Linked DNA regions of Saccharomyces cerevisiae S288C. Changing the gene in region 3 together with the main gene of any one other region gives a genetic interaction. Each region holds a gene or a part of one and is shown on either strand. Other genes may lie near its edges.

Region 1 (3,114 bases), on a different chromosome or scaffold from region 3:
TGTCATCGTCATCATCGTCCAGCCCGCGCGTTCAAAGTCGGCGGCACCGTAGTTCTGTGAGCGCAATATCTGCAATCTTACACCAAGGAAAATCTGGCCGCGAAGACATAACTGGAAGCCTTAGCGTTCCGGCAGAACAAGAAAAACTCAGTTTTCTTGCCAAAGCCTCGAGTATTTTCTTTCGAAGGAACAGTATGCCCAGAGACAAACATACGCATTCAGTATGTCCCGCTAGCCGCCCAGATTCCGAGAGATTTATCGTCACATCTGCAGCCGCGCAGTCTTTACGCCGCCAACAACAACTGGAAGACGCTCAGTACGCTCGAGTTATTACAAACTTTCGTACTATAGGATGGTGCTCTCCCAGCGAGATAGAGTCTGTGGAATATAAACGGTCCTTGATCAATGCGGAGTGGGACGAAAAGATCTCGCTTTTGTCTCACGCGCAATGCTATAAATAATAAATATACATATATATATATTTATATGTAGATAGATGTGTGTATATATATGCTAGGTAAAGAAACGGAAAAATCGAAAAATCGAAGTTGGAGAGGAAAAACAAGACATCAGGCCCGCACGTTTCGCGGGCTACCTGCCCATGTTCCGTCTCTTAATGTCATTCAACAATTTCAAAGACTTAATCTCGTTAATGTCATTGAGCTTTGCTTTCCAAAACTCATTTTCCTTGTTCAATTGCTCTATACGATCGCGAAGTTTGTTGATTTGCGTGTTTAAGTTCTGCAGCTTATTCATGTTCTCAAAATTCTTTTGTTTCTTGCGAATGCGGAACCGCTGCGACGCCTCTGTGTTCTTTCTTCTCCGCTCTTGCTTAATCTTATCCAGTTCGTTAGAAGTGCTCACGGGAGCTTCCTCTTCTTTTACAACAACTGCTGTTGTTGCGGCAACCTTCCCCTTTCTCGGCTCGCGGAGCTTCTTAAACTGCGAGACATCCTGGCCATTATTTATCATGCTAATGAGCTCCTCCGCGTTGCCACTGCTAACCAGCAGCAATGATAGCAAGCGCGAGCCCAGCTCTGAATCGCTTGATATCAGGTTCTGTAGATGTTCCGAAAGATTGTTCACGTTCATACCCTTCCTGCTTGCAATGTCAATGTTTGTTGATTTCTTTTCCCACCCTTGTTTCGCACTCATATTGACGAACAAAACAATTTGTCTTCGTAACTACCACTGGTTATAAATAGTTAAATTCAAGTTACCTCGTGTTCTTAGTCATTGGCTGCCCGGCCTTGACTCACGCCAGTGACCTACAACTATGGCGTTTCCGCTTCCCGCCCAAAACTGTGGTGTTAGAAAGTAGAAAAAGGTGAAAAAAGCGAAACCTAAAACCAAAAAAAAAAAATAAGTCACGTGCACTCAGTACCCCTTCTATTGTATTTTAGTTTACCTATTGGGCCGGGCGGGCCCCACAACTGTGGCATCTTTCAGATCATTTTTTTCCAGAATGCATGGAACTGACGAGTGAACTTTTATTCCACGGAAAAGGACAAAAAGGTGCAGTAATGGAATGGTCTTTTTGCACGGCAGTGATGTCGCTATCATATCAATCACTGAAAGTGAAGTTAACCATATTACAACAAGTTCACACAACATAAACAGTGTAACTAGCATATTATCACAGTCATGGCTCTACCTCTGATAAAACCTAAGGAGTCTGAGGAAAGCCACCTCGCTCTTTTGTCCAAGATCCACGTGTCCAAAAATTGGAAACTGCCTCCAAGGTTGCCCCATAGAGCAGCTCAGCGGAGGAAAAGAGTTCATCGACTTCACGAAGATTACGAAACTGAAGAAAATGATGAGGAGCTACAGAAGAAAAAACGGCAGAATAGAGACGCCCAAAGGGCCTACAGAGAACGCAAAAACAACAAGTTGCAAGTGCTGGAGGAAACCATAGAGTCACTGAGTAAGGTCGTTAAAAACTACGAAACGAAACTAAACCGCCTCCAAAATGAACTTCAAGCGAAAGAATCGGAAAATCATGCCCTTAAACAGAAATTGGAGACCCTTACTCTGAAACAAGCCTCTGTGCCTGCTCAGGACCCTATCCTGCAGAATTTGATCGAGAATTTCAAACCAATGAAGGCGATACCTATTAAGTACAATACCGCTATCAAGCGCCACCAGCACTCGACAGAACTGCCTAGCTCTGTCAAATGCGGCTTTTGTAACGACAACACTACTTGCGTTTGTAAAGAACTGGAAACAGATCACCGTAAAAGTGACGACGGTGTGGCCACAGAACAGAAGGATATGTCGATGCCACATGCAGAGTGCAATAATAAAGATAACCCCAATGGGCTCTGTAGTAATTGTACTAATATCGACAAATCATGTATCGACATCCGGTCCATCATCCACTGAAGAGAGAGAACTTCTTAATACTTATAAATACGTCATTGAACAGCTCAACTTTTGTAACGTCAAAAGAACGCACATGAAAGGAGTGACATTGCTTTTTTCTTTGCAAGTTTATTACTGTGGTTATGTGTAAAGAATTAGTTCATGGACATTGGCCGCAGAGTGCAAAAGCGTTTTGGACACCCCGCCTTTGGTGTTCTCGCCGCCATATTTTGAGACGTTAGTTTCCGACGAATTGAGCTGAAGCGGTGGACATTATCTCAAGGTACCGCTTACTATGCCTATACATTCCTGCAATTTTTTTTTTTTTTTTTTTGATAAGTATTACTGGGTAATGGGAAGTATAATCACTAGGCATATTATTTTTGACGCAGAGGAGTGGCAGCCTGTCTACTATGTAAATGTAATGGTAGAACCGTTATTATAACGTAAAATAGATCGTACATAAGAAAAACTGGACGCAAACCATTTAAATCTAAATGCGAATATGCGTACTGATTATTAACATGATACCATAATTTAGATCTTTCCTTTTGAAAGTCGTGTCAAATTCTAGTATTGGCGGATGAGATCCTAATGTGCTAAACAATAGAGATAATGGGATCCCCGCAAATTTCATTTTTAAATTGCTTTCCTCTTCTGAGTTGAACACGAATTTTTGAGAATCTAGCTGTAGTTAGACGTTACGCAAAAGAAGCTTTGGCGCAAGCAAATCTCCTTCCATACTGGTCTCCT
Region 2 (4,458 bases), on a different chromosome or scaffold from region 3:
GAGCGGCTGGTTGCTATGGTTTGTCTTCCATGATGTGTACGAAGCTGTGAAAATGAGTACTAAGGAGTCAGTGCACACCAGGGTAATCAATTTCCCTGATATTTTGTCAACTCAACAAATGAGACAGGGTCCATCTCAGATCAGGACACCTCTGGTAATGCTTCTTATGTGAGGTGTCTTGGCCGAAATTTATATATATATATATATGTATCACTAAGCTCCTAATTAGACTGCCATGCGGCAGTCAACGTTACCTTTTTTGAAATGTAGAAAAATTTAGTTATTTTTTAGGATGTTCATAAATATATCTATATATGCCATTTTTAACATTATAAATTACGAACATACGTGAATGAGGTGATATGACTGGTAAAGAAGAAAAAAGGATAATAACAAACCAAACAAGATAACCTGTGCATTCTATTTTATAATTGGTAGCAGTTCTAAAGCAAAAAACTGAAAAAGTGCTTTAGTATGATGAGGCTTTCCTATCATGGAAATGTTGATCCATTAAGACGAACTATAAACGGCGTCAACTTTATCTTTGACAGCATTCAAAATGTCTTTTCTTTTCAATTTCTGAGCGGACGTAACAAAACCGTTTTGTGGAGTCCATTCGCCGTCAAAGAACACTATGCCTGCTAGTAATTCAATGCCAACCAAACCTTGGTCTTTACCTGTCTTCAAAAGATCAGAATAAACAGCTTTAATCAATTTTGCATCCTCCAAATAATTTTCGATATTAATTGAACTGTCTTTTTGTTCCATAATTCCCAACTTTTTAGCAAGCTTCGTTAATGGAGCATGATTTGGTACAATAATACCAACTGGCTTAGTCTTAGATTGGTCGGCATAAACACAAATGTTAGCAACATATTCGTTAGATCTGTAAACGGACTCTAATTTCTCGAGTGCGATATATTCACCGTTCATTGTTTTGACCAAGTTTTTCTTCCTGTCAATTATTTTCAAATGGCCATTTGCTTCCCATTCACCGATGTCACCGGTCTTGAACCAACCATCGCTTGTTAAAGCTTGAGAAGTTTCTTCCTCATTCTTATAATATTCAGGCGTGACATTGGCACCTGTGATCCAAACTTCACCTTGGTTGTTTTTAGCAAAATAACCTAATTCTTCAACATCAACTAGTTTGACGGTAACACAACCTGTTAGGTCACCAGCGACGCCGAGTTCAAAATTAGCAGGATCCAAGATGGTGGTACTAGCGCATGTCTCGGTTAAACCGTAACCAATAAGCATAGGGCAGATTAAATTTGTGATGAATTCCTGAGCATCCCGACTGATTGGAGAACCACCGTTTAACAAATATCTTAATTGGCCACCTGTGGCAGTTCTGATTTTTTTGAAAACCAAGTTTCCTAAGGCGCCGCCACCAGGGATGTGGAGACGTTGCATGTTCAACTTGGTATTATACGCGGTCCAGAAGATTTTCTTGGTGAGGAAGGGCAAATTATCAATTTGGTTTAAGATCCCTTTTCTCACTGTTTCCCAAACAGCGGCGACACCAACCATGATTGTGGGCTTGAATTCTTGCAAATCACCTTGACAATTTCTCACAGAGCTGCTAGTTAAAGTTTTTACGGTGGCATAACCAATGCAGGCCCCCCAATAAAAGGACAATAGTTCGAAAACCAATTCAAAAATATGAGCTAGTGGCAAAAAACAGATAACACGGTCGGTATTGCCCACAAACTTCAAAACATTCAAACTTGCACCACCAACACCTGCGACAACATTTGAATGTTTCAAGACAACACCCTTTGGCTCACCTGTAGAACCAGACGTATACATGATGCAACAAAGATCATCCTTGCCAGGTGGATGAACATCGATTTCGTTACAGGATTCTTTACCTAGCTTCAAGATGTCGTCAAAGCTAAAGGTCTTGATATCAGGTCTAACTTCTTTAATTCTGTTGATGGCATCATGAGCAGATTGATAGATCTTACCACTTTGCCTCCTGTCCTCAGAACTGATGGAATCGAAATGAATTATGTATTTTACGTCTTGAGCGGCTTGCACTGGTTTGATCAAGGATGGTAATAAAGAGTTATCGGTAAAAATGGCCTTAGACCCCGTTTGCACCAAAGAATGAATTAGCCCTTTCTCTCCCAAAGTATCGTAGGCAGTGACGACAGGAATACCTTGAGACTGCGCTCCTAAGAACATCTTCATCCACTTGTGAGAAGTGGCTGCGTAAAGATGTAATTTGTCATCATCATTAGGCTTTAATCCTATTTTCACCAACCCACGACCAATTTCATGCATGATATCGGTCAATTGGTCAAATGAATTATAATGATAATGCGATAGTTCATAATACATCCATTTCTTTTCCACTGAAGTCTCCTTGCCATCAACTTTTTTCATAACCGATTTGGATTCTTCATGAATTTCCTTAACATCCCTCCAACCCATAGCATTTGAATTTTTGTTCTTCTGAAAGCACTCTAGAACAAACTCATAAACAGTGGAACACTTTGTGTTAGGCGGTCTGACGAGCGGCTTCTCGCGGCATTGATAATTTCTTCTTGGAGCAGTTTCATGCTCATTGGCGGCTTTCCCAACTGGAACGGTATATTGAGCAACCATATTGTTGTCTTTTTTTGTCTTTTGTGTTTGTTCTAGTTTTTATTGTATCCTAACGAGTTTTTTAACAACAAGAACTTTCTATACTTACTAAATATACTACAATTGTCTCACGACAAGTGAGGGGTAAAAGGAAAAAAAGAGAGAAAAATAAGCGGTTAAAGCCTTTTACTTAAAGACAGCGAAGGAGATCTCCAAACATTTTTGTTGTAATATCGATAATACGATATCCGCGAAAGGAACCAAAAAAAGCAAAAAAAAAAAAAAAACGCGCGAGAACAGCCTATCTCTGCTGTCCCGTATGCACAGGGAAGTTCTCCTGATATGCGATGGGTGGGTGCCCCTGTGTCATTCGTATTATATGATGTATTCGTGCCTGTATCATGCATAAATATTCACATGGCGGAGATCATGTTCCTGACAGGGCGTGATCGACTTTACTATTGTCCTTGTCATTCCCTTATGGAAGAATATGACAGGGCTGCATCATCCATATTCTAAGTAATTCTCTTTGCCGCGCTAAGCATGGCTTCATCGCTTGTTAGAAGGCGCATTTGTTATAAAGTTCAGCCGGCTCTATCGGTCCGCTAGCTAGGTCTGTTTACTTTCCGCAGCGTAAGCAGCTGGCAAAGTGGATCGGTCTTACATCTACAACGCAGTGACGTTTCTGATACTTTGGTGACGTATTCTTTTCTCACCGCTACGTTTTCTTCGCCCGCTCCGTGCGGACCGAAAAAAGACCCTCTCCCCTTATAAATTTTGTCAGTATTATAGCAATTGCCTGCGGACTTTCACCGCGCTTAGATCAAGAGGGCATCATGAGGCTACCTACAATTGACATACTAAGTCAAGAAAAATAATAGTGTATCGAATACGCGTGGTAGCTACATTAAATACTAAAGTATGGTTTTTTTTTTTAAGTAGGTTTACTCTTCATATTCTTCATTTTCATTTTTCCTTTTCTTCCCGTTCTTCATTTTTATTCCTAGAAAAAAAAATAAATATGTCTATCGTTAACCTAAACATAAACAAAGTTTAGCCCGCTTATTTAAATGATGCCCAGTACTTTTTTTCAAAACTCATATAATTATATATATCAAGAATGCTTTCCAACCACCGCTTGTATTAAGGTGTAGAAAGGTGGTTTTTGTATTCAAAAAGAGTACAAGCCCATTATAGCTAACTTAACAGTCCACCCTACTATATCCCACGCATATCTGGTTTTAACTTGTGGCGGGCGATATGGAACGAATTTTTCAAAGTTAACCATAGAAAAAAGCATGTGATCAAGGCAGAGTGAACGAGGGAAAAAGAAAGTGTGGAGAAGGCCACCTTTTGAAAAGTTTACCAATCGATCGGTCTCTCAGCACTTTCTACATTTAATCTCTTTATAGTGAACATCGCTGGCTCATGCTGGTTCCCATGCATAACTCACCCACGGCCGCCAACGGCCGCTTATCACTTACTGTCGCCAGCTCCGGTCTTAGAAAGGGTAAAAAAAACCGGGTGTATACTATACACTCATACATCCGCTCACCCGTTTCCAGTAGTGAATTTTCATTTTCTGTACGAAGGCAATATAAGCTGACGATCCGCATAAAGCAGAAGACTCATTTGTAATGCAGAATATCCGTACAATAAAGGAATTTATTGGTCTTATATATTCTACGTGGGAGCTCGAAAAGCATTTCTGGTTCTATTTAGTAACCAATTATTTTCACTTTGCTCAGAATAGTTCTGCATAGCTATAGAAAGAAAGTTAACACAAAGTACGGAAAGATTGAGTAAATATGAAACTCGGAAGCAAACAGGTAAAAATTATATCCTTGTTGCTGCTAGACACAGTGT
Region 3 (4,366 bases):
TGCATAAATATATTCTATTACAATATGGGAGGGCATTATCAGCCTCCATGTGCTTGCGTGCTGTCAAAGAAGGAGTGCGGGGATGACAATATGAATAGCCGCCGAAATTATGCCCGGCTGCAGTTGACCGTATAAATAACAGTGCTTCAATGAAAGGACACAAAAAGCAAGATCGTCCCATTTTCTACCTTAATCAGTATAGTAAAAATCAAAAACATAATATATTACTGTTATGATGAATAAAGTAGATCAAATCATCGGTTACAAAAAGTACGAAGTGAAACTACCAAAAGATCGACAAGTAAAGAAAAATAAATCAAAAGGTGGAAATGTTGATCAAATAGATACTAAGAGGGAAAAGGATAAAATGAGAGCTTTTGGTGAAGAAAGGAAAAAGTTCTTAGATAAAATGGCTAAAAACAAAAAAAAAAATACAAGTAGAAAAGATAGAGAGAAGCCAAAAGAAGTAGAAAAAGAAAACTACAAAAGAGAAGACAAAAGGCTAAAAGAACAGAAAAAATTATCACTGGCAAAAGAATTTCGTTTCAAAGAACCGAATTCAGAAGCCATTAATCAGAACACAGCAGCTGAAAATGGTAAACCTAAACCACAGACTGGACTAGATTTTGACATAGACCATCAAACCGTGTCCAAGATCATGATAGATCAGGCTATTCAAACATCTAGTCCTCTTAATGTCCAACTCACGGAACTTTTCAATGATAACGTCCTCGACGTCTCGAAAGATAGTCAGTTTGTCCTTCAAGACATGGAGTTCACCTCCTGGGAACGACGCTGGTCAAACTGCAGCACGACCAGTAATGCGACTACGGTCTCATCAGTTCCTGATCCCAAATATAATATCAACTACAACGACATAACCTCCTTCAATTCAGTAGCGCTAATTACCGAAGATCTTAACATATCTGCATCATCTAATGGTCTGCATGAGAGAGGTAAAAAGCTACTGCAGCAAGAGATGGAATACTCAAACAAGGTCAAAAATGTCACCATCGGGCTTGAAAGATTGTGTATGGATGAAAAACCAGTCCCAGATGCAGGAATAACCATGCAACAAGCGTCGCGCTGGTCAGAATTCCCCACTTGTTGCGATCAAGCTGCTATTTAGCTTTTCTAATTTAAAAAATTTATAAACTTCTTATAGTATTTCATCTTTATATCAAATACTATTAGCAAAATAAAAGGAAAGGAAAGGGAAAGGAACTTCTTTAGACTGCTTCGCACTGATTCTATCGCCATCCTTCTTCATGTTCTCAACTATTGGATATCTGCTCTATTTAGAACAATCGTTATTGTTACCCGCGTTAAATGGGGTAACTGATTGCTGCTTTTTTTTCTCGTTGTTTTGGACCTTTTCGGACATGAGAGGTCAAAAGAAAAAACAAACACGACCAAGTAAGCCGGAATAAACAAGTATAACCACCTGATTGAATTGCCTTCTTTAAACAAGCACAGACCTCCAAAAAGAAAAGGCTTTTGAAACGCTGCTCACGCACAGTTGTTTATTCCGTCCACATATTTTACGTGTCAGTTTCCTTTCTGTCTTCTCTTTATTCAATCAATTAGCATTAAAGAGAAAATAAGTCGTGTACTTTGAAAACCTTCTGTTCCTGTTTTCTTCCCGTATTTTTCATTTGCTTCACCAGCTTTTTCTCAACTGATCATATCATTTCAAGTTAAAAGTCTTTGTCATCACTTTTCTGTGAGTTGCAAATATTTGTAAGCGTCACTTACCTAGAGCAGCCTTTATCGATCAATATTTCAGAGGGAAAAACCTGTATCTCTTAGCATGCAAAGTTCAGTTTATTTTGACCAAACAGGGTCATTTGCGTCCAGTAGCGACAACGTTGTGTCTAGTACCACCAACACACACAACATTTCTCCCAGTCATCGTTCCAGTTTGAATCTGAACACTACTTCTCATCCCCACGAAGCGTCGGGTAGAGGAAGCGCAAGTGGGGAGTTGTATTTGAATGACACAAACTCACCCTTAGCGATATCTTCTATGCTAAACACACTTGCCCTTGGAAGTATGCCCCAAGACATTGCAAGCAGCAACATTAGCAATCACGATAACAACATTAAGGGGAGCTACAGCCTAAAATTGTCAAATGTAGCCAAGGATATTACTCTCAGAGAATGCTATGCAATCTTCGCTCTTGCTGAAGGTGTGAAAAGTATAGAATTACAGAAAAAAAACTCTTCATCAAGCATCACTTCTGCCTCATTAGAAGACGAGAATGATATTTTTATCATTGCCAGATTTGAGTTATTGAATCTAGCTATTAATTATGCCGTTATTTTGAATTCGAAAAATGAACTCTTTGGACCCAGTTTTCCCAATAAAACAACCGTTGAAATAATAGATGACACAACAAAAAACTTGGTTTCATTCCCATCATCTGCCATTTTCAATGACACCTCAAGATTGAATAAATCGAACTCGGGAATGAAAAGGCCAAGTCTGTTATCACAAAGATCCAGGTTTTCATTCAGCGATCCATTTTCCAATGATTCTCCTTTAAGCCAACAGCAATCTCAACAGCAGCAGCAACAGCCACAACAGCCACAACAACACTCTACGCAAAAACATTCACCACAACAATGTAATCAACAACAAGTGAATTCTTCAATACCGTTATCTTCTCAAGGCCAGGTTATTGGGTTACATTCTAACCATTCACATCAAGATTTGTCTGTGGAATCAACAATTCAAACATCTGATATTGGCAAATCTTTCCTTTTGAGAGATAACACTGAAATTAATGAAAAGATATGGGGCACAAGCGGTATACCTTCCAGCATCAACGGTTACATGAGCACTCCCCAACCTTCTACGCCAACTTTAGAATGGGGAAATACTTCTGCATCCCAACATGGTTCTTCGTTCTTTTTACCCTCTGCAGCATCGACAGCCATTGCACCTACGAATAGCAACACCAGTGCCAATGCAAACGCCAGCTCCAACAATGGAGCCAGCAATAATGGTGCTAACCAGGCACTCTCTGCCAGCTCGCAACAACCAATGATGCAAATTGGTAACACGATTAACACTTCCCTAACCTCTTCAAATTCATTGCCTCCATACGGTTTAATGTCTTCTCAATCGCAGCACATTTCAAATATGGTAAACACCTCTGATATGAACATTACACCTCAAAAACAGAACAGATTTATGCAACAACCCCAACCAGAGCATATGTATCCTGTGAATCAAAGTAACACTCCTCAAAAAGTACCGCCCGCAAGATTAAGTTCAAGTAGAAATTCACACAAGAATAACTCTACTACCTCATTATCCTCAAATATTACTGGATCTGCCTCGATTTCTCAGGCTGATTTGTCACTACTAGCCAGAATTCCACCTCCTGCCAACCCTGCTGATCAAAATCCACCTTGTAATACCCTTTATGTAGGGAATTTACCCTCCGACGCTACTGAGCAAGAACTAAGACAGCTATTTTCTGGTCAAGAAGGCTTCAGAAGACTATCATTCAGGAATAAGAATACCACATCTAATGGTCATAGTCACGGACCGATGTGCTTCGTTGAATTCGATGATGTCAGTTTTGCAACCAGAGCGTTAGCTGAATTGTATGGTAGACAGTTACCTCGCTCCACTGTGAGCAGTAAGGGAGGTATCAGATTAAGCTTTTCAAAAAACCCACTGGGTGTTAGGGGCCCAAACAGCAGAAGAGGAGGCAGTGGTAACCCAAATCCTAATGTAAATATGCTTTCCAGTTACAATTCTAATGTTGGTCATATAAAAAACTAAAAAAATGGTTCCGCAAAAACCTGATTTCCTTGCATGTATCACATTATATGCATTGCTTTTCATCTTTCCCCCACTATAATAAGAATAATATTTTCTGTCGCATTTTTTCTTTTTCTTTTATTATTTGTTATAATAATATTTTCTAAACCGACTAATAATAAGAATAACATCGATAATACTTTATCTCTTCAATTACGTTAAATTATCTTTTTACTATTACATTACAACGTGCATATAACAGAAATTTTTTCTTTTTCTGTCTAACATTTGAATTGTACTATGAATTAAACCCGCCATCTTTTTTCTTAACTACCATTTTGCGAACTCCTATACCGCTTCTGCAACAACAAGAACTTTTATTTTCAATTTTAATGTGCCATTCATTCCATTTTGCTTGCGCTAATGTGAATAAGATTGAGAGGGAAAAGTCTCACTATCGAATATCGCTCTTTAGTGTGATTATTGTCATCAAAGCACCAAGTGCTTAGGTGAGGTCATATCCGACAAATGTTTTGAAGAGAGAATATCTTTTTTTTATGCTGCCAACTTTTATTCTTTCCTTGTTTAAAA
Region 4 (3,470 bases), on a different chromosome or scaffold from region 3:
GATTTGAGCCTAGTCACTATACTGGTTTTCCCCACTGATGAATCTCCTAGCAGTACCACTTTGATGGTTGCTTCCATATCGTATTCCTCCGTATTTTGTGCTACTTGTATTTCCTGGAGTAATTTTACTATCATTGTTCCTTAACGTGAAACGTAAGGCTAAAAAACAATAAACGACAAAAAAAAAACAAAAAAATGAAAAATGCAGAGGAGTTTCTCTGCATTTACTGGAAGCGATTAAATAAGATTGCCTCAAGAAAAGAAGTTATCGGTATAATCTTTTGTAGGTAATGAAGTTTACGTTAGAAGACCAAGTTGTGTTGATCACTGGTGGTTCACAAGGTCTTGGAAAGGAATTCGCCAAAAAATATTATAATGAGGCTGAAAACACAAAGATTATTATCGTCAGTAGGTCAGAGGCTAGACTGCTGGACACATGCAACGAAATTAGGATTGAAGCTCACCTGAGAAGGGAAACCACTGACGAGGGCCAAGTGCAACATAAGTTGGCTGCGCCCTTGGACCTTGAGCAACGGTTATTTTACTACCCATGCGACTTGTCCTGCTACGAATCCGTGGAATGTTTGTTCAATGCCCTGAGAGACTTGGATTTACTCCCTACACAAACGTTATGCTGTGCAGGGGGGGCTGTTCCTAAGTTATTTCGTGGGCTAAGCGGACATGAGTTGAACTTGGGTATGGACATCAACTATAAAACAACTTTGAACGTGGCACATCAGATTGCCCTTGCAGAGCAAACCAAGGAACACCACCTCATCATCTTTTCTAGTGCCACCGCGCTTTACCCATTTGTGGGCTATTCCCAGTATGCGCCTGCAAAAGCTGCAATCAAATCACTGGTAGCAATCTTAAGACAAGAACTGACGAACTTCCGTATCAGTTGTGTTTATCCTGGTAATTTTGAAAGCGAAGGTTTCACTGTAGAGCAGCTAACGAAACCCGAAATTACAAAGTTGATCGAAGGCCCCTCAGACGCTATCCCATGCAAACAAGCATGTGATATCATTGCCAAGTCGCTGGCCAGAGGTGATGATGACGTTTTTACAGATTTTGTCGGATGGATGATAATGGGGATGGACCTTGGGCTCACCGCAAAGAAAAGCCGCTTTGTTCCGTTGCAATGGATTTTTGGTGTCCTATCAAACATTCTGGTCGTGCCATTCTACATGGTTGGCTGTTCCTGGTATATCAGGAAATGGTTTCGTGAAAATGACGGCAAGAAGGCCAACTGAGAGCACATCCACTCTCATTCCCGATATTCCCCGTGACTCTCTTTATTTCTTTCAAGACAAACCCTAGTGGTGTAGCTATTTGTACATGTATAAGTATATACGAAATATTAATTATAACATTATTACCACGGCGATATTTTCCTATTTTTATTCTCTTTTCTTACTATATTTTGAAAGTTTTTCTTATGGGTACCGATGCGATGAGGTGAAAAAAATTTTCCTCTTTCCACTTTTAGTACAGGTTATGAGATGCTTCTCATTAGAAGTCAAGAAGAGAGCATATCAGTAACAATACGATGAGTAGCAGTGGTGTTTATACGTGTAATTCATGTGTCCTGACCTTTGATTCAAGCGACGAGCAGCGGGCCCACATGAAGTCCGATTGGCATCGCTACAATTTGAAAAGACGTGTTGCACAATTGCCACCAATATCATTTGAGACATTTGACTCCAAAGTGTCTGCAGCTGCTGCCAGTACTAGTAAGTCTGCTGAAAAGGAGAAACCTGTTACCAAAAAGGAGTTGAAAAGAAGGGAAAAGCAAGCATTGCTCGAAAAGAAAAAGAAACTGTTGGAAATTGCCAGGGCTAATATGCTTGAAAACATGCAAAAGAGCCAAGAGGGAAATACTCCCGACCTAAGCAAGCTCTCTTTGCAAGAAAATGAGGAGAACAAGGAAAAGGAAGAACCTAAGAAGGAGGAGCCTGAACAGTTGACCGAGGAAGAAATGGCGGAAAGAGTAATGCAAGAAAAGCTACGCAACAGAGTCGATATTCCACTGGAACAATGTCTATTTTGTGAGCACAATAAGCACTTCAAAGATGTTGAAGAAAACCTGGAACACATGTTTAGGACCCACGGGTTTTATATCCCAGAACAGAAATATCTAGTCGACAAGATCGGCTTGGTAAAATACATGTCGGAGAAGATTGGTCTTGGGAACATTTGTATTGTTTGTAATTACCAGGGGAGAACGTTGACCGCTGTAAGACAGCACATGTTGGCAAAGAGACACTGTAAAATTCCCTACGAAAGCGAGGATGAAAGGTTGGAGATATCTGAATTCTACGATTTTACAAGCTCATACGCAAACTTTAATAGCAACACAACACCAGACAACGAAGATGACTGGGAAGACGTGGGCAGCGACGAAGCCGGAAGCGACGACGAAGATCTGCCACAAGAGTACTTATATAACGATGGTATAGAGCTGCATCTACCGACAGGCATCAAAGTTGGCCACAGGTCCTTGCAAAGATACTACAAGCAAGACTTAAAGCCCGAGGTGATACTGACCGAAGGCCAAGGTACCCTGGTCGCTGCAGAGACGAGATCGTTCTTACCTGCCTTCGACAAAAAGGGCGTGCAGACTCAACAGCGTGTTTGGCAAACTGAGAGGTTCGACAAGAAAAGGCTCGATAAGAGAAGTGCCAAGTTCGTCAATAACCAACCACACTACAGAGACCAACTTCTGCAGTAATTCTTTTTGCACTACTTTTTTTAGTATTTTGTCGCATATATACTGCTTCACCATTTGTACATTAGATAATTCTTCACTACCCCCTCTATAGCAATGTTATAGTCATTGAATCATGCTTTGAAATGCCTGTTCTAATATTCTCTTCATATAATAAATGCGTGATGCCGGGTATTTGTGCGCCCTTGTTTGGCGCAAAAATCTCGAAAGTGAAAAAACTAATAGGCTTCTTAAAGCAGTTATATCTACAGCAAAGGAAATAGCTGCTGAAGACTGAAGATGTTGGCGCGCAGTTTGGGTTACAGGTTGATATCGACCAGTCGTATCTTATATAATAAACCCACGGTTAAGTCAGTGGTGTCGTCGTGTCCTGCGGGAACATCGCTTAACTTAAACATATGGAAGAGCGGTAAAGACGCAGTGGCACTCGAGGACAAGGAGTATCCAAATTGGTTATGGAGCGTATTGGATAGTGATCACGTTGTCGAACATGCGGCTGAGGACCCAGAGGGACAGGCTCTCTTAAAGAGAAGAAAGAACATAAGGAAGGCGAACAGGCAGCGAATCAAGCAAAACAATTTCTTGAGCCAACTTTAAGCCTCCGTTAATAAGATCAAGTTTGGTATCCTTGTAAATAAATATGTGTGTACGTGGTTAAATAGTATGTTTTTAGCATAATGCCTTATTTTGTACCAACAAAAACATGATAGTTCCCACATATCTTTTCGCCTGGGGAATACCAA

Evidence for each region.
Region 1: mutations in WHI3 (region 3) and MET28 together harm fitness less than expected from each alone (positive genetic interaction), as found in Saccharomyces cerevisiae (2 studies listed by BioGRID).
Region 2: mutations in WHI3 (region 3) and FAA1 together harm fitness less than expected from each alone (positive genetic interaction), as found in Saccharomyces cerevisiae (2 studies listed by BioGRID).
Region 4: mutations in WHI3 (region 3) and REI1 together harm fitness less than expected from each alone (positive genetic interaction), as found in Saccharomyces cerevisiae (2 studies listed by BioGRID).

What each region holds. Positions count from the first base shown.
Region 1 is NC_001141.2:382,965-386,078, forward strand, and holds MET28 (Met28p), read right to left. Parts: upstream 1,156-3,114; coding exon 592-1,155; downstream 1-591. Other genes in the region: YIR016W (uncharacterized protein), read left to right, coding at 1-461; YAP5 (Yap5p), read left to right, coding at 1,645-2,382; YIR018C-A (uncharacterized protein), read right to left, coding at 2,600-2,737. UniProt on the Saccharomyces cerevisiae protein: Acts as an accessory factor in the activation of sulfur amino acids metabolism genes. Possesses no intrinsic transcription activation abilities. Binds to the MET16 promoter as a complex with MET4 and CBF1. Enhances the DNA-binding activity of CBF1.
Region 2 is NC_001147.6:907,498-911,955, reverse strand, and holds FAA1 (long-chain fatty acid-CoA ligase FAA1), read right to left. Parts: upstream 2,614-4,458; coding exon 511-2,613; downstream 1-510. Other genes in the region: YOR316C-A (uncharacterized protein), read left to right, coding at 4,021-4,230; metal cation transporter COT1, read left to right, coding at 4,401-4,458. UniProt on the Saccharomyces cerevisiae protein: Activates long-chain fatty acids (LCFA) by esterification of the fatty acids into metabolically active CoA-thioesters for subsequent degradation or incorporation into phospholipids.
Region 3 is NC_001146.8:267,038-271,403, reverse strand, and holds WHI3 (mRNA-binding protein WHI3), read left to right. Parts: upstream 1-1,810; coding exon 1,811-3,796; downstream 3,797-4,366. Other genes in the region: SLZ1 (Slz1p), read left to right, coding at 233-1,129. UniProt on the Saccharomyces cerevisiae protein: Involved in size control and cell cycle.
Region 4 is NC_001134.8:738,293-741,762, forward strand, and holds REI1 (Rei1p), read left to right. Parts: upstream 1-1,548; coding exon 1,549-2,730; downstream 2,731-3,470. Other genes in the region: Rab family GTPase YPT10, read right to left, coding at 1-77; TSC10 (3-dehydrosphinganine reductase), read left to right, coding at 290-1,252; SLM6 (Slm6p), read right to left, coding at 1,644-2,096; mitochondrial 54S ribosomal protein mL54 MRPL37, read left to right, coding at 3,007-3,324. UniProt on the Saccharomyces cerevisiae protein: Pre-60S-associated factor involved in the cytoplasmic maturation of the 60S subunit. Involved in the dissociation and recycling of other late pre-60S factors like ARX1, TIF6 and ALB1 before newly synthesized large ribosomal subunits enter translation.